4 linked regions of the Drosophila melanogaster genome follow. The protein of the gene in region 2 interacts with the protein of the main gene of each other region in a pairwise test. Each region holds a gene or a part of one and is shown on either strand. Other genes may lie near its edges. The genes, in order: CG43894, CG13067, CG13022 and CG15865.

Region 1 (5,790 bases), 3.4 Mb from region 2:
TCTGCCAGAGTTGGCCCACATATGCGGCAGTCCGATCGGGACAATCTTGCGCTGGTGGTACGGATGTGGTGCACATCGGCTTCGATGTGGCTGCCGGTTTTCTTAGCCATGTTGAGCTCTGCTACGATCAGCAGGAGCAGATCTCCAGATACGCTCGCTATGAACTGACTCCGGCCAATGTGGCCTACCAAAAGGGTGTTGCTCAACCGGGCTATCTTCGAGGTGACTTCTATAGCGGCGAAGATGTCAATGTTCTATATGACCAATCACACCAGCTGGATGCATTTAGTACGGCCCTGGGATTAGATGCCAGTCAGTACTTTGACAGCACTAAGGATCTCTATTTGACCAGAGGACAGCTGGCAGCTCGTCTTGATTTCGTCCATAGTTCCGCCCAGAGAGCCACCCACTTTTATGTGAACGCAGTTCCTCAATGGAGAAGCATCAATATTGGAAATTGGCTTGCAGTGGAATCCAGTTTGAAGCAATTTGTGGCGGATGAGGCACTTAATGTGAGTGTACATGCCGGCAGCTATGATATCTCAACTCTACCCAATTCACAAGGTGTCCAGACACCTCTGTATCTGAATGCCGAGACCAAACAACTGCCAGTAGCTAAGATCCTCTATCGCATTGTTATCGATCAGGAAAGTCGCAAGGGAGTAGTTCTAATTGTGGTCAACAATCCACATATAACATTGACGGAGACCCTCGAGGATTATGTGATCTGTGAGGATGTGGGAGCGCAAATCGATTGGTTGGACTGGGACAAAGCAAACCTGCAGAAGGGCTACTCCTATGCGTGCTCTGTAGAAGATTTCATCGAAGTGGTTAAGGATTTGCCCACAGATCAACTGCAAACAACAGGAATTCTTGGTTTGACTGATCAAATCTTGGACAATGAAGTGTGCAGCTTTAAAGTGAACGGTGATCTTAAGGATCCGGCTCCTTTATTTGTAGTCAGGAGTGAATTGGGTCATGCGAGATATTTGGAACCGAATCAAGAAGGAGTAGTTCAGCTAAAACATGGAGAAGCCCTTGAGTTCCACTGCATCAATTCTTTCAGTGGACCCTTCTCTGGTTATACCTTCGTCAATTCAACATGCTGGCAACAGCAGAGCATCCTGGCAATGGGCAGTTTGTATCAGCTGCAGGACTTTGTCTGCACTTCCTGGCCAACATACACTGCTCGTCGCTCTGGTCGTCCCTGCAATGGTGGTACTGATCTGCTTGAAGTGGGCTTTCAGCTGTCATCCTCCTCGAGCGACGACTTCCTGCAGACCTATGACGTGTGTCACGATGAACTGAGCGAAGTCACCCGCTATGTGCATCATGTTTTGTACCCCGGAAGTGACCAATATCAGCGATCTGTATCCAGGCCATCCTTTATACCCGGCGACTTTTACGGAGGCAAGGATGTGAACACTTTGTACACCCAAGTTCAACAGAATATCACGGTTTCCGAGATTTTGGGCATGGATGCCTCACCATACTTCAACACCACTGGTAATGTCTATCTGGCTCGGGGTCACCTTTCTGCAAAGACCGACTTTGTCTTTGGGGCCGCTCAAAAGGCGAGCTTCTTCTTTGTGAATGCGGCACCTCAGTGGCAGACCTTTAATGGCGGAAACTGGGAACGAATCGAGGACAGTGTGAGAAAGTTTGTGGCGGATGAAAACATCACAGTGGATTGCTATACGGGCACATGGGGTGTGTCCACCCTGCCGGATGTAAATGGCATTGGAAGGGAGCTCTATTTGGACTTTGATGAAAACAACAATGGTCTGATTCCAGTGCCAAAGTTGTACTTCCGCGTGATTATCGATCGCGAGAGCAGAAATGGCATCGTGCTACTTGGAGTTAACAACCCACATGCCACCATTGAGCAAATCGAAGAGGAGTACATCATCTGCCAGGATATTGGCGCCCAACTGAGTTGGGTCAGTTGGACCAAAGAGGACCTAAAGAAGGGCTATTCATATGCCTGTACTGTGGAGGACTTTACTGCAGTGGTGAAAGACCTACCTTTACAAGACCTGTTTGTCGATGGAGTCCTGGGTGTTTAATATCAGATTTTGTGGGTGTGCAATTTCCAAAAAAAAAAACGAATTTCTTAATTTAAAACCAATAAAAAGACTATCTTAAAGAAAACAGGTTTTTATTGAAGGGTAGCCCTTAGGAAAATGCTTAAAGGCACGTTTAAATTAAGTTCTCATGGGCCATAAAACAGTGAAATCACGTTTAGCTTTTGTTCTCTTTGGAGTTTATTGCATGTTGGACATATTGATAAGAGTAAGGTTATCAAATGCTTGACGTTATCGTTTATGGCCGGGGTAGAGCTATTTATTTACCCAGCCATTGGATTATTTGCTCACGTGCCGCACGTTTCCAAAAGCCTTAATTTTTTCTGCTGTTCCAGTAGCCCAAGAGGCAGTCCCTTGGCCCGAATCGAAGTCCCAATGGCAGTGACTTTCACATTTTCTTATCGAAGCTAAGGAAATACCTTGTATTACTTGTGCGGTTCCCTTTGTTTATCTTATCGCAACACAATCGTCGCAGAACGTATGAAGTATACGCCTGCTTGGTTAATAATTATAATGGACTTTTTAGGGGGTAAACAAAAGGCAAAAACCGTAAATGAAGCAGATAGAAACCAAAATTGATTTATATTGGTCGAGTAATCATTCACTTAGAATTGTTGCGGATTCAACAATGCGGTTAAACTTCGTTTTAATTAATCAGTAATATCTATCAAGGCTGAAAGTGTGTGTTATTTTGTTAAGCAATGTTTATTTACCCCTGTTCAAGGCGTAGTTCAGAGACCGTTTAATAGATAGTTCTATTCGGCTAACCTACTGCTGAAATATTTAGGCAGTAACTTATTAATCGTGTAAGTTTTAATGTACTGCATTTAAACAGCCATACAAAAATATTCAATTAGCGCTGTTTAATGAACTTTTATTTATGTTAGAAAGAGTCAGAACAATAATCATCATATTTCGGTGATTTAATTTTGCAAATAATCATTACCGCAACTCATCAACCATGAAATATCAAAATGATATAAATATGAGGGATTTAGGGAAATGAATTTAGTTAGTTTCGGAATTTTACAAGAGAAAATGGAACTTGTTGGTATATATTTGATATTAGCCACGACGATTGTTGTCCAAGGATACAGAAGTAAGTCAGCGAACAGGATAAGGGATAAAATCTAAAAAATTCCCCACTATCAATACAGAATTTGGACTTAGTTGTGAGGATATTGCCTGTATATCTGGTAAAAAATGCATTGTATCCAGAGTTCCCTGCGAAAACCCAAATCAGCAAGAAGGAGAACAATGTGGAACCTATCCGGAGTGCCAATCAGGTTCGTAAAATTTTGTTTTTTCATCGGTTCACACTGAAATCTGGTCCTTTTCAACTGATCCGTTTCAGATCAGCTGGCCAGCGATTTCATCATCGACACTACACAGACCACTGCCAACACCCGAAACAGCATCATCATACCCAGCACTTCCACGAGTCGCAATCGGAATAATAGGAACAGTGACTTTAAACTGCTGAGCGATTTCAGTAACTCCGATACATTTGCCACCCATGCAGGCCAACGGCAGGCTAATGTTTTGGTTATTGTTCAAGATGGTTCCCAGCAACCTCAACAGCCAAATCCTTGGCTAAATCGAGGACAAAGTCCTCCCTGTACCATCAGTCCGCTCTACCCATATTCCTGTACTTATCCCCGTTATCCGAATTCGGGAGCAGGATTGCCTTCTTATACGCAGCAGCGATCGGCCAATGGGCCACAATTAGTTCCTCCCACTCCACCATGCTACTATAACTGCTATCCCAGTGTGCGGTCAAGTTCATATGGTCAATATGGATACCCCCTGTCTAGATCAGCCAATCCCTCATCAACCAATAACTATTTAATCTACCTCACATTAGCTGGCTAAAAGACCAGGAGCTTTAGTTATGTGCAAATAATAAATATAGAATCTATTATCAACCTTTTTTTTTCGTTTCTATATCTTCGCCAGTTTTGCACCGTTTCCGGCGAACGCCACAAATGCCTTATCAGCCTGTGGGGATGCCAGCTTCAATGCCACCCGGGTATCCACCACCTCGCCCACCGTTTCAAATGCAGCAGCCGCGTCAAGTTGCACCACAATATGTGATTCCACCTCAGCCCAACCCACAGTACGCAATTCAATACCAGGCCAACCGGCAATATGCCATGCAAGGACAACCCAATTCGGCCAATCCTTGGCTCCACTTCTCAGTAGGGATGTCCTATCCAACGTATATGAACTATAATGGACGTTCCGCTGGGAACTCACTTCCATCATTTTACAATCCGTACCCACCCAGTTATAGTACCTATAATTACAATATTAACTTACCCTTTTCGGGTGGATCTTCCTAAGATCTTCGATACTGGTTAAAAAAAATTCAAAGCTACTCAGCACCGGATGGACTCCTTCCGAACATTATTTCATTACTTTCAAATTTGTCGTTCCTAAAATTAATAGCTAATACATATATTTGTCAGCTTCTCTGGGGGAAACGATGACGGATTCCGAAATGGATTCTGATGCAACACTACCACAATTTCACAATCGATCGGCACGTCAGATTCCAATGCGTCCCATGCCAGGACCAATGCCAATGCCAGGAGCGCTGCCGTATCCTGGTCCTGTTTCAATGAATGTACCATCTCCGGGGCGTGCGTATTATCCCTCGTATATGGGACAACCTTATATGGGACAACCGTACATGCCAGGTGCCATGCCCATGATGCCAATGATGCCCCAGGGAGGTGGAACTATGGGTGGTACCAGCATAATTGTGGAGCCCTTAATAATCCTGCCAATGGGCATTGGGGCAGGCACGGGTACGGGCGTGAATCCAAATTCATATTATGGATCGAATGGAGCTTATCCCACGTATAACAATTACAATCCCTACAATACGTACACTACTGCACGACCCAGCTACGACTATAACAATTATAACAACAACAATAATAACAATAACAACGATTACAACTCATATGGTTAGATTTCAATTAAATGATCCCCGAAATCTACATGATCATTATTCATTTACAAATGAATCGAAAGCTGTCCAGGTATGAATATATTGTGTACATACATTGTTTGCCAGGTCATTTAACAATAGATTATTTTCGATTATTAAATAAGAAAAATGTCAAATATAATTGACGATTAATCTTGAATAAAATTATTGAGATACATCATTCGCGAGATAAATCACTTTTTGTTTTAGCTCTGTAAAGAAAGGGGATCGACAAAAGCAAAGAACTTAATGCGACCTAGACCTAAATACACATACATATGTATAAAGGTATATAGATAGAAAGAACTCGGAAGTACTCAAAAAATGCAAACAATCCAATGGTATTATATCTTTATTCTCAGAGAGATTACAAGACAAAGAAGCAAAACGAAAGAGAGAGCGAGAGAGAGAGAGAGATGTAAGATACAAGAGCACGAACTGAGAATATAAATAAAAACACCTGTTCACCAAACAAATAATTCAGTCGGCGGTTAGATAGCAACTTAACCGGTCGAGTTGAGTTTCCAACAAAATGATGCTTCAGTTTATCGGCCTAATTTTGGCGGTCGTGATTCTGCGAGAGATTCGGGCACGTGAGGCGATCGCAACCATTCCAGATGTGGGTCAGATAATCAAAGATCTCGATGGACTGCACATCGATGGAGAAATGTTTCATCAAGGTATGTGGTCGCCTAAAAGTTAATAACCATA
Region 2 (5,101 bases):
TTGATTGCATAAAGACCATTGCAGCCGACGGACGTAACCCTGAAACAATGCGCTCGCAATCGGATTGAAGCGTGCAATTCCATTTCATTGATTCCTGGCCAACTCTTGGCGCAGGAGGTTACTCATCGGCAATTAGCCGTGTCTGGTGGCATCAATCACATCGGGCTACTGGTCACCTTCGCGGCGACATCTTTTATGGGCCCACAATGCGGACGTGCCCGAAATAATGAATGGGTTTGGTCTTGCATTCAGATTCGGATTCGGATTCGGATTGGAATCGACCTCCGCGGGCGGCGGGAACGTAGCCAAACGGCCAATTGAGCTACTGAAAGGCCGCTCTGCATTCCCATGCAGGTGGTATAGAATCATTCGCCCCATTATCGTGTGTGCCCAGAAAGTCAAAAGCATCTATGCGATTTCCCGGTGCTATAAAAGTTGCATGTCGGATCGAATCAAGTCATAGTCCAATTTGCTAGCTCAAATCAAACTAAACTAAACCATCATGTTCAAGCTGGTGAGTTGGTGGTTTCTCCATATGGATACAGATATCTGGAGTATTATATTAACTGGTTATTTCCGTACAGTCTGCCCTCGTTGTCCTGTGCGCTCTGGTGGCCTGCTCCTCGGCTGAGCCCAAGCCCGCTATCCTGGCCGCCGCTCCAGTGGTTGCAGCTGCTCCTGCCGGCGTGGTCACCGCTACCAGTTCGCAGTACGTGGCCCGCAACTTCAACGGTGTGGCTGCTGCTCCAGTTGTTGCCGCTGCCTACACCGCTCCAGTTGCCGCCGCTGCCTATACCGCTCCAGTTGCCGCCGCTGCTTATACCGCTCCAGTTGCCGCTGCCTACTCTGCTTATCCGTATGCCGCCTACCCTTACAGCGCTGCATACACCACTGTTTTGTAAAACGGATTAACAAGTATTCAAAACGGATTTGAAATGGAATAAAAATAGACCCGACTGGCAATAAAACAAATCAAACTAAAAGCTTAAAAATATTATTCTGGAAATGGGAACACCAAGTTCTGTTTTTCAATAGCAAAAAAGCTATAGTTATATATTATTAATACTTTTTAATGGATTTTCTACTATTAATTATTATTTCTCAATCTTTTGGCGGCAACAAAAGTTCTTGATAGTATTTAAAAAGAAAGTCACCTAAACATATACGTTTTTTATAATTAATATTTTTTTACTGTCACCTTTTCTAAACCTTTTGTTCTGGCAGCGTCTGTTCTGCCCACTTAAAATGCGGAAATGTAGCCCGAAAAAATACCAATTCAGTTGCGTCATCATCCATTGACAAATCACAGATGGCAAAAGTGATAGATTTCTCGAAATGTATAGGTAACCGGCATCTCTGGTAGGAGAATCACGTGTTGGCCATTTAAAAATTGCCGACTGAAAGTTGCGTCAACCCGAATAAATAATTATGCATGTGCGTGTCTAAAAATATATTTCTGGCTTAAAGCGGGCAATAACGAGTAAAATAGCAACCATAACAGGGAAAGGATTCAACAGGAGGGACAACAGTGTCCTTTGACCACCTTATGGCCAGTGGGAGGACGCTCCCCTAGGCAGCCACTATGTGGACGGGAATGGAGTTGCTGTAGCGTCCGAATGGCAGCCACGCAGCTGGGTAGAACAAAGGATAGCTCGGCGGCGGTGCAGAGCCCACAAGTGGTGGTGGCCCCAGTGGTGGTGGGGGAACAGCAGCTCCAGCTGCCTGGCGGGGCGGTGGTGGAGCAGCCCGATGGGCAGGCGGCACATCGATCTCCTCGGCAGCATCCTGGATCTGACCCGCGGCCGCCAGGTGGATCAGAAGGAGGAGCACCACCTGAAATGGCCACCGATGGCGAGGCCTCATCATCTTTGAGCAAGTGCATCGACTTCTCGGCGGATAACCGCTTGAGACTTACTAATTTCCTGTACATAGCTAATCCGAGCTGATAAGATCTGATAGCTCAACGTTCTGAAAACGAAATAAACATGACTGGAGCGACAGAACCCAGCTTTATAAATTTCTGAACCCAACCCGGCAGTTTTTGTGGGTCATTTCCAGACTTGCCGATGGATGGATCAATATCCAGCTACGTTTTAGTATGCAAAACACGGACTCACATTCGATTTGTTTTTCGCTTTTCGTCACGCTTTTAAAAATACCAAACGAAACCAAAAGTGCAAAGCCATAATGCTCAAGATTCTCCTTGGCTGGCTTCAAAATGGACTTGGAACCGATCTGGGAATGGATGTGCATACCAATGGCCACGCATCACCTTCGCTTCAATGTGGGGAATTGGAATGGAATTTTCTCGACCGATTCTGCTATATATACCCGAGTACTCGGGCACTAGGAGATATCAGTCTAGTACTTGAGAACCAACAGTTCACAACCAACCCAAACAGCCAACATGTTCAAATACGTAAGGATCGCAGGATAGCTGGACTTGCCACCAAACAACGGATTACTCATAAGCACTTTTCCTATCCTTTCAGTTCGCTCTGTGCCTGTTCGCCATCGTGGCCTGCGTCTCTGCCAAGCCGGCGGTGCTCGCTTCTCCTCTGGCCTACAGCGCCTACTCCGCTCCCTATGTGGCAGCTGCTCCTTACTCGGCTGCCTACACCGCGGCATACACCGCTCCAGTGGCCGCCGCCTACTCCGCCTACACGTACCCCTATGCGTCCGCCTACTCCGCCTACCCCTATGCCGCCTACTACCGTTAAGACTGGATGAATGGATCGTGATCTTAACCTGACTGCTGAACTGGACCTGAATATAAACATATACACATCTATTGCAACAAGGATACACACCTTCCTGCTAACCACCTGCAACATCCAATCTTCTTACATCCCTGGTGTTAGTTCGACAGACTCTACATTTCCCCACCTCTGCCGACTGCTGAAAGTTAAGTCATGGGAACAGGACATACCACTTCAAGAAAGGGAATATTTTTGTTGAAATAAATACTGCATTTTGCGTAAAACGTATACCACTTGTTCATAATTTATTGCATCACTTATTCATCTCTAATGTGAAGGGAGTATGTATAATCACATACTTTTAGGCAGTACTCTTTTGCAATGGGTACTAAGTACTAAATTTGGTATACATTAAAATCCAATGGAAATATTATTTATAAAGTAGGTGATATCATATTTTCAGTAAATATTTCTCACACTAGTTTCATAAATTGCTAGCCCCTACATTTTTTAATTTTGGTGGGCTGGAAGGAATCAATGACTTTTTTAAGCTTTGTATCAATAAATTGCTTTGATACATTGGAAATTATTTTTTGGACTTAAAACCTATTATTTGTTAAAAAAAAAGGAAGTGTAAAGGAGGTTGTGTTCTTCGTGGTGGAATGTCCATGTTTGCATTGGATTAATAGGGTCAACGAGACCTCCGGTTTATTGAACTCGCGATTCCATTTATGCAAAGCTTTCGATTCCCTGTTTCTGGTGTCCTCAACCTTAAGCCAAGGGCTCAACTCGATGACGTCCTTCGAAACTGGATAAACCGCTTCTATTTTTACTTGCATCTCTGATTAGAATGCAAAGTGGCGTGTTCGAGTGGCTGACAATTGAAACGTACAGAGTGAGCCGAACTCCGGAGATGGCCAAGACGGTTGGAATGACACGCACGTTCACAGCCCACAAAACGCACTGAGTGCTAAATTATGATAATTCAATCGGCAAACGACAGCTGCTGACGCCAGTTGCGGAAATGCTCAAGATGAGCGGGAAAAAACATTCATTTTCAATAATAAATTCACAAGGAATGCGTACTATTCGCAGGCATATCGACAAACACAAATCTGCAACATTATAATTGTGCCAGTAAAAAGAGACCAAATGTTTGGCCCTGTTTTAGCCCTGGTACGTGATGGAAATGCTTTAAACTTGCTGGGTTTTTGCTTTTTCAATGGGCTTTGTCAAGGATGCTATGTATATTTACCTATATAAACCACTTCGAACTCAGCACAAGACATCAATCAGAAGTCTAACTTCGACGCTAACACAACCAAATCAATTAAAATGATGAAATTCGTAAGTTTCCAACATTTTTTTAAGGATACAATGTTTCAAAAATGCAACAATTCACAATCCTAAATACAAACAAAAACGCGTGTGTTCGAAATAAAACTATTATCAAACAGTGTAGATTTTTCAAACAATTTTTTATATTTATAAAACTTCTTGTAAATGTGTATTTTAATGTACTTTTTGTATGCATTTTATCCTGCAGTTTGCCGTTGTCCTGTGCGCCCTGTTCGCCGCCGCTGCTGCCAATCCTGGTCTGCTGGCCTACAATGCCCCTCTGGCCTACTCCACTCCACTGGCGTACAGCTCCCTGCCCGCTGCCGCACCCCTCGCCTACACCGCCGCCTACACCCCTGCCTACGCCCCCTACGTGGCCCCCTATGCCAGTAGCTACAGTGCCCACAGTGTGGCCCACAGCGCCGCCCTGCCAGCCGTTTATGCCGCCGCCCCTGTGGCCACCATCCTCAAGAAGTAAGATGTCCCAGGATGGCAAAGGGATTCCGCAAGGCTGCCGCACGTGTCCACCGGACGTCGTCACTGCCACGGCGAAAGATACAGATACAAACAGAGATGGAGATACATGCTCGCAGGCAAACAGAAATTAAAACGCAATGCATCAGGCCCACGCACTGACCGACTGAGAAGTGAATCGAGTTTTATTCCTTCCGTTTAATTTTAATCTTGCCGTGGGCATCGGGACTTTTCTTCAAAGGAAACAGATAGTGCAGGTTGCTCTTGGGAAGCGCCGTCTTATTGCAATAGATACCTGGATGGGAAGTATATATATATAGCTTTAGTTTGTGGTATTACATAGAATTATAAGTTCAAGATAAGGGATTTCATTTGAATTATTAACGAGTGCTGCAAGCTTTAATTTTTAACATTTGCAATGGTCACCAGAGCACTTTAAACTATTATATGATGAGAAGAATGAATTCGTTTAAGGTTAAATCAGGCCACCATTTTCATTAGACAGCTCCCATATGACAGAGTGCCCTCCAAGGGTGTGCCCAACTCTGGCCTGTTTGTGCGCCCACTTTGGTTCATCGACACTTCGCCAC
Region 3 (5,069 bases), 670 kb from region 2:
AGCACAAAGTGAGTTATCTCCCCTCGATGTCAGAGTTGAGCTCATATATCAGCGGTTGGCGGCAGGCGGCGGCCACTGAAGCGAAACCCAAACAAACGGAGGGGGATCCATGGAGTTGGAGCCGTTCTAACACATTGGACTGCTTTTTCTGGCGTTGCCTAAACGTTTTTCCATTACCGCTTCGGCGCTACTGTTGTTTTTTGCAATCTCCGGTAAATCGGGGGAAACAAAAAGCTGTTAACAAATTGACTGGCCTGAGAGATTCGAGCCAAAAAAAAAAGAGGAATGGATTGTAGATGGCAGATGCTCAACGATAGCGATGATTCTGAATGGGATCGTTCCCCGAGATGTGTAGTAATCGAAGTAATGGCGTGCCGGGCTAAGATCGAATCTATATTCAAAATTGCAGTGCAAGTCCGCTTCCGCTGAAAGGGTTTACCCAATCCCCACTCATTGTGTCGGTAGCTAATTAATCTCCCTCTATTTCCCACATAGATTTCGCGTGAACGGACCGAAAATCCATCGGAAAATGGACCTGGCTCAGTATCCGGTACTGCCGCGGGGAAGTCCGGACGATCCGCTGGCCGATCCCTTCGACGATCCATCCTACAGCTTTAGTTTTCGCACTCCGGATCAGTCGCGCAGCGAGGAGAATGATTCCGGGAATAGGATAAGAGGCGAGTTTAGCGAGTATGGTACTTAAGAGTATATTAACTGATTCTATCCCAGGTCTGTACTCCTATTTGGACGACGTGGGCGAGCGGCACAGTGTTCGTTATGCAGCTGGAGCCGGAACCGGATTCGAGATCTCCAACGCTGTGCCGGACAGCCCATCTGTTGTGGCGTACTCCAGTCCTCTGTACACGTCCCATCCCAAAGCACGCGGCAAGATGTCTGTGCAAAGGGGGCCGGCTGGAAGCTATAAGCTGATCGCCTCAGGTTCGGATCACCGACGGGCAGAAAGTCGAGCACCCGATGGCCTGGTGCGAGGAACCTACTCCTTCCTGGACGACAAGGGCGTGCAGCGGACAGTGGAGTATATAGCTGGAGCAGGAATTGGCTACCGGGTGGTGCAAAATCGGATTGGTCCTGGAACCCATAACAATCCCTCTGTGGCTGATTTTCGTTTGACAGATCCAGATTTCCGACTGGCTAATGATTTTGGCAGGGGTGCTGGTGGTGGCTTAGGTCCGAAGGGAGGTGGTGGTGGATCAGGTGGGGGAAGTGTTTCGGTAGGAGCTTCGGGGCCAAGTGGTGGTGCAGGTGGAGCGGGAAGGGGCCGTACTCCAAGCAGACCCGGAGGCAAAGATTACCTAAAGCCGGCTGATGGAGCAAGAGATAGGAATCGTGGAGATGGTGATGCTGGGGCAGCTGATGAAAATCTGGGACACCATGCTGATGACCAAGGGGATGACATTGGGCTTGGCAGCAGCTCCTCTGGTTCCACCAACTTTAATGGCAAAGAAGACAGAAGAGGGTTCCCTGCGGGTAGTCCGCAACGGGGCAGTACTAGATACGATGCCGGAGGTGACAGCTCTCAGAGAGGTGGTTCAGGTAGCTCCACGAGAAACAATGTTAGTGGGTCCCGAAACAGAAACCGATTCGGCGGCGTTGGTGGAGTAAGTGTCTCCTCTGAGCGGGGAGCAGGAAGGGGAGGTGCTGCCGGTGGTGGAAGCAGTCGTCGAGGAGGTGGAGCTGGAGCCTCCAGGGAAGGCGACTCCGGCCTGGGCTACCTGCCGCCCACAGGTGGATCGGGCACCAGTGCCATGAGCGGACCCGGGGACAATTACCACCTCAACGATGACGATGTGGGCAGTTCACTGCCTCCTCTGGTCACCGCCAACCACCGAATTCTAGAGATCGACAGGGATCGGGAGTGGGTGCAGCGACACCGCGACTCCACCGTCATCAAGAACGTGGGTAAATGGTACGTGGGCCTGCCGCCTGGTCAAAGTGTGCGTGCCCATGTCCAGAACATCGACATAATACCCTTGGGCGGAAGGATCGGACTTTCGCCGTCGGAGGCACTGCGTCAGGATGAGATCGCCGAGCTGAATGCCTCAAGGGAGCACTAAGCACCCATTGGATCTGTAGATCTGTAGTTTGTAGTGCGTAGCTCTAAGTGATCAGTGTTGAGTAACCGAAACTGGGTTGACTCCACATGGAAACTAAAACAGTATTTAAAGCGGAATACATTTTTTGCCTGTATCTGTATCTCAAACTGTATCTGTATCTCTAGCGAATAGTTATTTGATATCCGTGGATCCGGGTATAAGCAGGTTAATCTGCACATTGCGGTTTCCTTGAATCCACATATAACCCCATGACTTAGCATGCTCGGAGTTTAGTTGTTTCTGAGACTTGAACATGATGTTGGTGCTTTTCATTGCTTCGCTGATAGTTTCCTGTGCTCAAGGAGCGCAAGTGTATATGCAGTTCAATGGACAAGGATACTCCTACAACACGGATGGCGATAGATTGGATAGGAGTGTCGTTAAGCCTAGTTTTGGGGCATCTTCTCTGGATTCCTTTGGTCCGCTGAACTTTGTGCATCAATCTCTGAGGACAAGACAGAATCCACTTTCCCGGATTTCCTACAATACACAGGATAACCTAGCAGTGGCAACATCTTCGCTGAGTGCGGGCTACCAATTAGCATCGACCAACCACCTGAAGCACCGGCAAAGCCAGCAAAACTTTGATTTCAGCACCGACCAGATGTCGCATGCCCAGCACACCGATGAGGCGGGAAATGTTTTGGGCAAGTACTCCTACTACGATGAGGCTGGCTACCATGAGCTGAGCTACAAGGCGGGCGCCGGCATCGGATTCGTGGTCATGGGTGGCAATTTGGCCAAGGCCACCACCGCCGCTGAACCGCACTCGGAAATCGAAATCGGAAACGGAATCCAAACAAATGCCTTGACTAGCCTGCAAGAGTTGCATAAATATCGTGGCTACACGTAAATAAAATATATTAGCCAAAACTATTGCTCGTTCTACTTGGGTGTTTTGCGTTATTTACTGGAAGTCTTTGGAGATCTGACAGTGTCACCTGTCGTGTTTGAGACCTACGTGATCGGGGATCTGAACTGTAAACATATGTCAAAGAATGAATGACTTGTAAAACAGAGTTCATTCAAAGAAAAGAGTGCAGCTTTGCTTGGTTATAGAATGCAAGCAATAGTCAAATATTATCGAGAGCTCTGGATTTCATAACTTCTACGCGGCACAAAATTATCTTTGGATCGGAAGACATTATATTAACATTTATAAATAATGGTGAAATTAAAAAAAAAATGTACGTAAAAATAGATGTCCAAAAATGTATGAATTCTTTTTGTAATTGTAAATCTTGGAATATAATATTATGCTAAATAGGACGGTAGAAAGAATATTTTTCTTCATTTTAAAAAGAAACATAACTTGAGTTCCATAAAAGCGGTCATCGCATTAATAGAAAATTTTCTTGCCTGGACATAATTTTTAAACGTTTTACAATAAAAATGTTTGCATAAAGTAGATAAGGGTAAACATTGTCAGTTTCTGATCGTAAATGATTGTAAGAGCTTTAATTGCTTGTGGCGCGTGCTTTGGCACGATACAACTGCGGCGATTTATGCATGTTATAAACCCTAATTGATTTTCCGATCATAAAAATGGTTATATTCGGTCGCACAAAGTCATTTTACAAATGGACAGTGCATCCCAAAGCCAAATTGAGTCAGCTCTGTGGCTTATTTATTTTTGTTTGGGCAATTTCATGTCGGAAAGGGACCAAAATAATACAGCATTTGAAATGTTCGACGCGTGCGCGCACTTGCCAAATAATTTGAATCGAACGGAAAGCCTTGGCGTCCACGGCGTGGCCTAAATAAAATATATTTCTGGCCGCGCGAAGCCAAGAAAAGCCCATAAGCAATAATAATATGCATATTTGCTAAAACAAAAAGTTATTACATGGGCCAGTTTTGACCGAAAGTTTCACTGCCACAATTAAGTTTTAATGTCAAGAGATCTAAGCGAGTGATTTCCCTGAAACAAGTTCCTACGCACTCGAAAACTTTCTTCGCCGAATGCACTAAAAGAACGTACAGAAGAGCACTAAAAAGCTTGCCATAGCTTGACATAGATTCTATTCGGCCGGGTCTAGGGTTTGTATGGCTGAAATGGCCACGTTCTCAGCGTAGAAATCAATGGCTCACCTGGGAAGTAGCCGAGGTGCATAATTGGGTTAGCGTAGCAGCAGAACGGCCTGCATTGAAACCACAAATTACTGGGGCTCCGGCTCTCCCAGGTGCCAGTTAGCTGTTTCTGTTTATTTTCCCCCTCATAAACAACGGTTTGGGCTGGGATTCTCCTCCTCGCCGAAGGTCAGACTTAATTGGCCCGGGCCTAGGCAACGACATCCCACTAGCAGTCCCGTTTCGCCTGCATTTATAAATAGGCCCCAAGGTCTCTGGGTCTTGGGTCTTCGGTCTTCGGTCTTCGGTCTTCAACTTCTCGACTCGCTCTTCGGCTGCTTGGATTTCAGTTGGGGTTCGATTTATCGCCTTTTGATTGCTGCATTCCAATTGTGGATCAAGTGGTGCGTGTGGCGCATTCGGGGCTTACAACGTGTTGCTGCTAATTTCGTATGCTCCCTTCGGCTCTGCGCACTCGAAACCATAAATCTTGTGGCAATTTTATTGATGCCTGCGTGTGCCACAAAGGTCGACCCCCCGTTCGATGCTGCTTAATCAAGGAATATGCATTATTTCACAGCGCAGTCAGTAGCTGGCTGCTCGGGGCATAAAAGCCAATAAAAGAATAAATTGCAGTTGTATCACAGCAAAGTTAATCACAAAATTAATGGTTCTGGGCTAATAAAGACTGGTCTGCAATGAAAACAAATGACTTAAGGCACGAACCTGAAATCAATTTCTCTGATTTCAGACATTTGTTATTCATGATTATCGATCAAAAACGGTCCGAAGCTAAGTCTTAATCCTGACATCTGTTGATACCCGAGAAGTGTGTGAAGTCTTCACGCCGAAGTGCTTGTCAAATCAAAAAAAAAAAAAAAGAAC
Region 4 (8,287 bases), on a different chromosome or scaffold from region 2:
CTTCTACTCACCGCTACAGCTCCGGGCGATGGATGACGGAGCACCACGACGTCGGCATAGCTGGACACAACCTTGATGCTGTCCTCCAGGCTCTCGCCCTTCTTCACCGACGACGTGATGTTGTCCATGCTGATCACTCGCCCTCCCAAACGCAGCATGGCAGCTGCAAAGCTGCACTGCGTCCGCGTGCTGACCTCGTAAAACACACTGGCCATGATCTTGCCTGGCAGCAGCTCGTCCACCGGACGATCCTTCGTACCCCGCAGCTTGAGCAGCTGTGCCAGGTTAAAGATGTCGTTGAGGTGATCTTTGTTGAACATGTCAACGGCAAGGATGTGCTTGCCCATTAGCGAGTGGGCCACCGGATTTGAGTTGGTAGTGCGCTGCAAGTATTCCCGCAGCGTGGTGTTGCTGGCGGAATCCAGACGGATGCGTGGGGATGGCGAGTTGGGGCGCAGGAAGTTGGCTCCGTCCACAAAGTGCACCTTGGTCGATATTCCATGTACGCCTCCACCGGGTCCTTCGGAGGTGAGGAGGCGGGTAAAGGTGTCATTGGCATCGTTGTCGCTGGGCAGCAGATCCTGTGATGCCTCCGACGCCAATGGACTCTGTTTGGGGCGCACATTCTGCCCGAAGCCGGGCTGCACCAACACTTGGCCATCGACGAAGGCCACCTCGCCGCGAAGAACCACCCGGTGGACGCGTCCCTTGACCTTGGTGCCCTCAAATGGTGTCCAGCCGGACTTGCTCTTCATCTCATTGCCCGTTATGGTCCACTCCTCGTCGAGATCCACCTCCACGTAGGTCTGCGCCTGATCCGGCAGGTTGAAGATGATTTTTGGATTGCGATGGAACTTCCTCTTGATGTCCTCCATCGTCAAACGACCCTCGTGAACAGCCTGCAGGAGGAGCGGCAGAATGGTCTCCACGCCCGGAAATCCAGGCGGTGGACGCTCCGAACGTTTCTCGGCCAGTGTGTGTGGCGCGTGATCGGTGGCAAATACATCGATGTAATCAATATTCTCCCACAGAGCCTCTTGATCCTCCGGTGAGCAGAGCAATGGCCTTACCTCGGACATTCCGTGACCCAAACGCTCCACATCCTTGGTGCTGAGGAACAAGTGATGGGGGCACACCTCGCAGGTCACCTTGACGCCCTTTTCCTTGGCGGAACGAATCAATTGGATCTCCTCCTTTCGCGCCACATGGCAGATGTGAACCGAACGGTCGAGAAGATGGGCCAGCATAATCACAGCCGCTGTGCTCTGCCTCTCCGCATGACAAACGATGGGAGACCGCTTGGGCCAGTGGCTGAGATGCCTCTGCCAGCTGGTCATGTCGCTCAGTTTTAGGGTGCCGAAAGTGTCGTTTAAGTACATCTTAAGGCCACACGCATGACTGGCCAGCTCGTTGACCTGCGCCCAATTGTCATCCGAGGCCCCCACATACAGGGCATAGTCGCATCGAGCTCCCGCTTTGGCCAGCTCCTGGAACTGGGTGAACGTCTCTCTGTCCACGATCGAGGGATTTGTATTGGGCATGGCGCACACGAGGGTCACGCCGCCAGCCAGAGCGGCTGCTGTTCCACTGGCAAAGTCCTCCTTGTGCGTGGCTCCCGGCTCCCGCAAATGCACATGCACATCGATGAAGCCCGGCAGCTTCACAATTCTACGCGAGGTCATACAATCCGTGTGCGTCTTCATTGGCGGCTTGCCACCGTTCATTCGCATTGATTCTACCAGAAGCTTGGTGCACTTCACATCGGTCACCAGCGGAATGGAGTAGTCCACGGCCAGGCGACGGGTGCGGTAGCCATGGGTCATGAACGAGGAGACCCTGGAATAGTATCAGGAAATCACATTTACTTGGAGATACATATGTACATATAATCAAAAGGCACTGCCTTAAAACTAACAACTATTAATTCTTCAACTAATTGCTCTAATTTTAAAAATAAGAGAATAGCTTGCGTAAAAACACACGGATAAACTGACATACGGACATGACAAGATATACTTTTTAGGTTTGGAACTGTCTTCAATTTTATAAAAAACACTAAAAATATATCGTTCGGATATCAGTTTTACTCCACACAAACGAAAATTCTTTGCACTCAGTTATAAGTACTTTGCACTCCAATTGGACTTTAAAGAAAATATAAATAACATTTAAGATGTCTGAGCCAGATAAGAAATGGAATTAAGACAAGCCCTTTTTATAACTTAATAACTTAAATTATATGCCAAATTGTTGTGCAAACTGTGTTCAAGGCCCAAAAATTCCAGTGACTAACATTTGTTTGAATATTGAATCATTAAGTCGTTAATACCCCTGAAAACAGAACTTTTATCAAAGTAGGTTAGCTATATAAATATGCATATCCGCTACAAGAAATATGTTATATATGTTTTATAGGTAAACACAATTAGAAAACAAATACTATTCGCACTTGCAGACTTCTTCCTGAAGTTCCATGGATCACCAACTTAGTGGCATATATATTTGGGGGCCATTAAAAAGAGTCACCATCGAATCGTACTCACCGCCTGGCACCCCCGCCGCTCATCGGGAGGTTGATGACCAGGTCGAACTGCTTGTTGGCCAGGAACTCGGCCAGGTGTCTCAGCTCACCGTTGATGTCATCGGGAGTCGTCTTGTCGAATGTCCACTGCACGGATTCCACCTGCAAGGGCAAAAGCACACATATATACAATATTTACTCGTACATAGACATAGATCATATACAATGGTATATATATATATATATATATATAGAGAATGCGACCGACCGATCATCACCAAGGCCACATGTCATCGTCATCCGCGCCACCAACTCTACTTCCAATCAATTGTTTGCCCAGAGTACACCATATAGATACCATTATTTATGGATCTTTCATGTCTACATCGAAGACAATAGAGCAACAGGCCATGGCAATGGCACAGTGGTGCAGATATGTACGATCTTACACAATAATTCCAAATAAATCGAACTTTGAACATTTGATATGTGAATAGTGGTAATAAGATATATTCAATCGAACTAAGAGTGCAATCAGAAGAAAATCTTAAGTTACTATTTTAAGATAAGAATTCAATAGATCAATTTTTATATTATATTTCCTTTGAAGACCATCTATTTTAGACGCCTCCTTGAGTTTTTTGTCTGTTTGTGCGGCACAGTGAAGTGGAAATCAATTCCGTTTTCATGGAAGCACCAGGAACTGGCTGATAATGGATAATTGGGCCGAAGGAGGTGGTGGCCGGAAGAGTCGTTCAGCTCTTATCTTTCCGATTGCCATTACTAGATCGCAGATCGCAGGTAATTGGTAATTGGTGATTGGTGAACTCCGATCGCAGATTGTACACTTTATCAGCCGGAATTCAGTCACAAATCAGCGATCGTCCGTTGAGTATGGGCTGCTCCTGGTCGCGATCCGAGCAGGTGGATTCCAGTGCCACGCCCAATGCCCTGCAGGCGGGCATTCCCGCCCAGCGCCAACAGAGGAGGCGGCGCCAAGAGGAGAAGCATCTCCGCCAGCTGCAGAAGCTCCAAAAGCGTAACGCGCGTAAACGTCGCCGAAAGAAGGGCGCAGGATCTGGATCTGCCAGCGCCGGAGGATCTTTCCTCGGTCGTGGTGGATCGATTCACAGACGACACATCAACGGAAAAAGCCATCCTGATCTCGCCCTGCAACTGCGTCTACTGGGCGGCAGCAATGGAAGCACGGCCACCGAATGTGTCAGTGCCCTGTATGCCAGAACATTGGAGCAGCAGCGCGAGGAGTTCCAGCGGACCGTGGAGCAGAGGACCCTACACCAATTGGACCGCGAACTGCACACCTTCCTGCTGAACCAATTGCTTCTGGGTATCCAGTTCTTTGGGCACTTCGAGGCCGAGATGGCCGTGGTCGATGCCCAAATCGTGGCCAGGCGACGCAACTGCTCCGCCGAAAAGCTGGCCGAGCACAGCTTGCTCCAAAGTAGCGCCATCGATGCAGCTGTCGCCAGGAACCTGCTCTTCAAGCCGCCGTAAGTCTTTTCCTTATCCTCTCTCCATACTTTCTAGATTTTTCTATACTTTTTTGCCTACATTTTATGATCTTCTCTTTTTTCATTTTAAAATTGGTTTTTAATATATGTATTTATAACCGATTTCAGATCTTCGAAGAGTCCACCACAGCTGCTGCAGAAACCCGTGACCTATGTGGTCTTTGAGAACGTTGACGTGGCGCGACCCCACGATGCCAACTACGACACCGTGGCGGCACTGTGCAAGGTGCTCCTGGAGACGGACTACTACCGGACCACGCCCTGCCCCTCGGAGCTAGTCAACTTGATGGAGATGACCAGGTGGATGGGCTATGTTCGCCTCAAGCTGCGCGACCAATTGCCGCATCCGCAGGCGGGCACGCCCACTAGCTCCAGCTTATCTTTGCCGGCCAGCAGCGATGAGGAATGCATCTACGGTGATGTGGGATCCTCCGCATCCAACTCCCCATCCTCGGGCTACAGTTCGGGGGACTACGATTATGTCTACTTGGCCAGGTTGAATACTCCGCGACCGCTGGAGGAGCTGCGATTTGATCGCGATTTCAATTTCCAGAGGAATGTCCTACCTGGGAATTGCATTCGCCGTTTGGCCAATTGTCTGCCTCCTTGGCTAGAGCAAACCGACGACGAGGAGTCATCCTCCGCCGCCTCCAGCAGTGACGAGGACGAGAAGGATGAGGCGAATTCCGATAATCGCAAATATCCACCGGCTGGCTATGAAACGGTGGAGGTGCTTCGCCAGTGTCATGTGGAGCAACTGCAGCAGTGCTACCTCAGTTCGCAGCAGTTCATGTTGTACTTTGGAGAGGTGCTGCGTCATCATTTGGCTAACCAATTGGGCATCAGCCAATCGCAGCTGGCCGCGTGTTCGTATCGCGGCTGTAGTGTATATACCGCTCGCGAGGAGCTGGTGCCCGCCATTCATGTGCCCAATTCCTGGCCGGATTGCGCCTTCGAGTTTTGGCTGAGGGCTCGTCCTCGTTTGACCAACCTCCATACTGCCGAACAATTCCAATGGCCAACGGAGCAGATGAAAAAACGTATTCGATCCATGGGCTTCCATGTTGTACCAGTGGGCTATGCACCAAAGCGTTCGCGAAATCCCTTCAGGGAACTGGAATGGCGCATTGTCTTTCCCCAGGCGGAACAGTTTCTCGAGCGGCACTGCCTGACGCCCATGCAATTGAAGGTGTTCCAACTAATGAAGCTGCTGGTCAAAACCTTTGTGGACGAATCAACCACATCCTGTGACCAATCCCCGGGAGCTTTGCTCGAACAGCTGAGAGCCCATATGTTTTGGCAATGTGAGCAGCACAGCAATGATTGGCCAGAGGAGTTTCTGGGCGAGCGATTGGTTCGATTCATTCGCTCCTTCGACGCCTGTTTGGCCAAGAAACACCTGAGCGACTACTTCATTGAGCGGCGCAATCTATTCGAGCATATCCCAGAGGATACGCTGATGAAGCTGCGCAGCATAATGGCCGGAATTGCGGAACAACCGCTGCTGCATGTCATCCAGGCACTGAGGAATCTTCAGCACGCGCCGGAATTCTACCCGCAACTGGAGTACAAGCGACTGTTGGAGAATCTCTTTAGCCAGGATTACCTGGAGCTGCACGGACGGGGCAAGTTCTCGCGTCCACGTCAGGGATTTCCCGCTCTGCAGAACTGTGAAGAAAACAATGGCGGGCAGCAGGTGGAAACGAAAAAAAAAACCGAAAGGACGGAGATCACCGATGCCAAGGGACTCTTGGGATTGGCTCAGCACCAGGAGCGCTCGAGAGGAAAGCTGCGCAGGAAGACACAGCTCTTAAGGGCCACGACTCAGCAATTTCAAATCTCGGCGACGGAACAAAGACGTTGCTCGCTCGACTCCCTGGATCGCCAATTGCTATTGGCACGCTCCAATCCGGAAAGTTCCAAGAGCCAGGAAGCAGCGAAACCGCAACTGAACAACGGCTTGGAGATCCTGCGAAGGAGCAATCTGATCGAACTTCTGCTGGATCATTCGCTGGCCATGTTGGCTCGTGCCATTCGGTTTGGCAACCGTGGACATGCACAGCTTTATCTGGAGCATGGGCAAAGATTGTGCCGCCTTTATCAGCACCTCGGTTGCTCGCAGCAGGCACAGCACTTCGTCCAGGAACTACAGAACGCAGCCAGCGATATGGAACGCATGTGTGAATCGCATATACCAACGTCATCGGGCGGCAGTCCCTCCACGGTGGTTGAATCTCCGCCAGCGCCAAGGAAATCCATCAAGTTCCAGGAGCATGTCGTGCAGATACACACTCCAGAACCGCTGGCCATGCAGAAGCATATGCCCCATCTGGAAAACCATCAGCTCAATGGGATTCTAAGAGCTCACCACCAAGAGGATGCGAACGCCATTGAACCCCTACAGGAGGAGGAGATCAAGAGCGCGTTGCTTCGGGAAATAGAAAGTCGCATAGAAGAAAAACCCAATGTCCAAAGAGATAGAGAACCAATAGATTCTCCTGAAGTGGATAGCCTTAAGCCGCAAACGGGAATCAAATCAAAATCGGAGGAAACAGCCAAGGAGGAATCATTTCTCTCGCTAAACGGAATCCTTCAAAGGCTCTCCCTCGACACGGATAAGGTGCAAATGCTGGGCAGCAAAACGGAGCAACTGGTCCAAAGAGTAGCCCCATCCGAGGCCAAGCGGGATGAACTCAAGGAGATCCTCAAGCGCAACGCACAGAAGCTCAAGGGCGCATTCAACTAGAGACACTAAAGATAATACTACCATATAGTAGCCAAATTGCTAAATCCCGGCGATTAGTGATATATTGATATATTGATAACAGATAAACCAGTTGTGATAAGGGCGGTTAGAGATAGAGATAGAAATATATATATAGTTATGGGCCATAATTATTGTCCATACCATGTGCGCCATATATATTTTCGTAATTAGTAATCTTGAAATCAACGTAATTTCTCTATGATAATAATGTTATTGAATTTGTAAACCAATGTCATGGAAAATAAATAATGCAATATAAACAACCGTTCAATTTGTAAACCAAGTCAGGGAAAACAAATAGTAGGAAATGAGTATTGAAACTACTCAACTTTGTTGACTCGCATCTCCAATGGATTTTGATTAAAGTTGCATGATATACAATAAGCACACAGACATAAATATACTCACATTAACTCCGTGTTCGGCATAAAAGTCGCCAGTGCCCATGGAAGCGTATAGCTTGTAACCCATCTTGGCCAGATCCCGTATGGAAGGCAGCAGCTCCATCTTGTGCTGCAGATGAATGGAGTTATTAATGGAGTAACTAATATCAATAATCAATGGAGTGGCCAACAAACCTTGAAACTGCCAATGGAGAGAAGTACGGCGTTCTTGGGTATCTGGAAGCCCGTGGACATCATGGCCTTGAGATACGCCTCATAGCGGTTGTCCCCGAAGCAGGCAACCTCACCGGTGGAGGCCATCTCGACGCCCAGCTGTACATCCGCGCCCGCGAGCCGCGAGAAACTGAACTGTGGCACCTTGACGCCCACCTTGCCGACGCCATGGAGCACATCCAGTGGCTCCACATCGAGTCCCACAATCGCACGCGTCGCCGTGGCCACAAAGTCGTGGTCCAGCGTCTTGGAGACGAAGGGGAAGGATCGCGACACACGGACATTGCATTCGATGACCTTCAGCTCGTTGTTCTTGGCAATTAGCTGCATGTTGAAGGGACCGGTGACATCCAGTACGCTGGCCAAATCGCATGTGATCCGTTTAATGGCCTCCAGGGTCTCCGCATTCAGATCCTGCGGTGGGGTAACCAGCGTGGCATCACCTGAATGCACTCCGGCATTCTCCACGTGCTCCGAAACAGCCATGCACAGGATGCGTCCATCGGATGCCACTGCATCCACATCGATCTCCTTGGCCTCGGTGAGGAACTTCGAAATGACAACCGGATGCTCGCGACTCACCTCGGAGGCGGCGTTCAGATATGTCTCCAGATCCTGATTGGAATAGGCCACATTCATGGCCGCACCGGAGAGCACATAGGATGGCCTAACCAGACAGGGATAGCCAACCTCCTCGCAAAATTCGATGGCCGACTGTAGGTTGGTCAGCTCCTTCCAGCGTGGCTGCAAGATACCCTTCCTGTCCAGCATGCGCGAGAATTTAAATCGATTTTCGGCACAGTCGATGGACTCCGGCGATGTGCCCAACACCTTCGCCTGCTGGCGATGC

Evidence for each region.
Region 1: the proteins of CG13067 (region 2) and CG43894 interact in a two-hybrid assay, tested with the Drosophila melanogaster proteins (one large-scale study listed by BioGRID).
Region 3: the proteins of CG13067 (region 2) and CG13022 interact in a two-hybrid assay, tested with the Drosophila melanogaster proteins (one large-scale study listed by BioGRID).
Region 4: the proteins of CG13067 (region 2) and CG15865 interact in a two-hybrid assay, tested with the Drosophila melanogaster proteins (one large-scale study listed by BioGRID).

The regions. Positions count from the first base shown.
Region 1 is NT_037436.4:12,887,102-12,892,891, forward strand, and holds CG43894 (uncharacterized protein), read left to right. Parts: upstream 1-2,668; 5' UTR 2,669-3,122; coding exon 3,123-3,183; intron 3,184-3,241; coding exon 3,242-3,370; intron 3,371-3,438; coding exon 3,439-3,956; 3' UTR 3,957-4,004; downstream 4,005-5,790. Other genes in the region: CG14120 (uncharacterized protein), read left to right, coding at 1-2,066; CG14118 (uncharacterized protein), read left to right, coding at 5,612-5,759.
Region 2 is NT_037436.4:16,268,933-16,274,033, forward strand, and holds CG13067 (uncharacterized protein), read left to right. Parts: upstream 1-2,349; 5' UTR 2,350-2,407; coding exon 2,408-2,419; intron 2,420-2,492; coding exon 2,493-2,720; 3' UTR 2,721-2,986; downstream 2,987-5,101. Other genes in the region: CG13068 (uncharacterized protein), read left to right, coding at 503-514, 585-902; CG34248 (uncharacterized protein), read right to left, coding at 1,570-1,866; CG13066 (uncharacterized protein), read left to right, coding at 4,035-4,046, 4,246-4,515.
Region 3 is NT_037436.4:16,936,244-16,941,312, reverse strand, and holds CG13022 (uncharacterized protein), read left to right. Parts: upstream 1-2,360; 5' UTR 2,361-2,370; coding exon 2,371-2,967; 3' UTR 2,968-2,983; downstream 2,984-5,069. Other genes in the region: Cpr73D (cuticular protein 73D), read left to right, coding at 496-677, 730-2,075.
Region 4 is NC_004354.4:16,659,584-16,667,870, reverse strand, and holds CG15865 (uncharacterized protein), read left to right. Parts: upstream 1-3,415; coding exon 3,416-4,032; intron 4,033-4,161; coding exon 4,162-6,799; 3' UTR 6,800-6,973; downstream 6,974-8,287. Other genes in the region: r (rudimentary), read right to left, coding at 12-1,836, 2,544-2,683, 7,229-7,333, 7,399-8,287.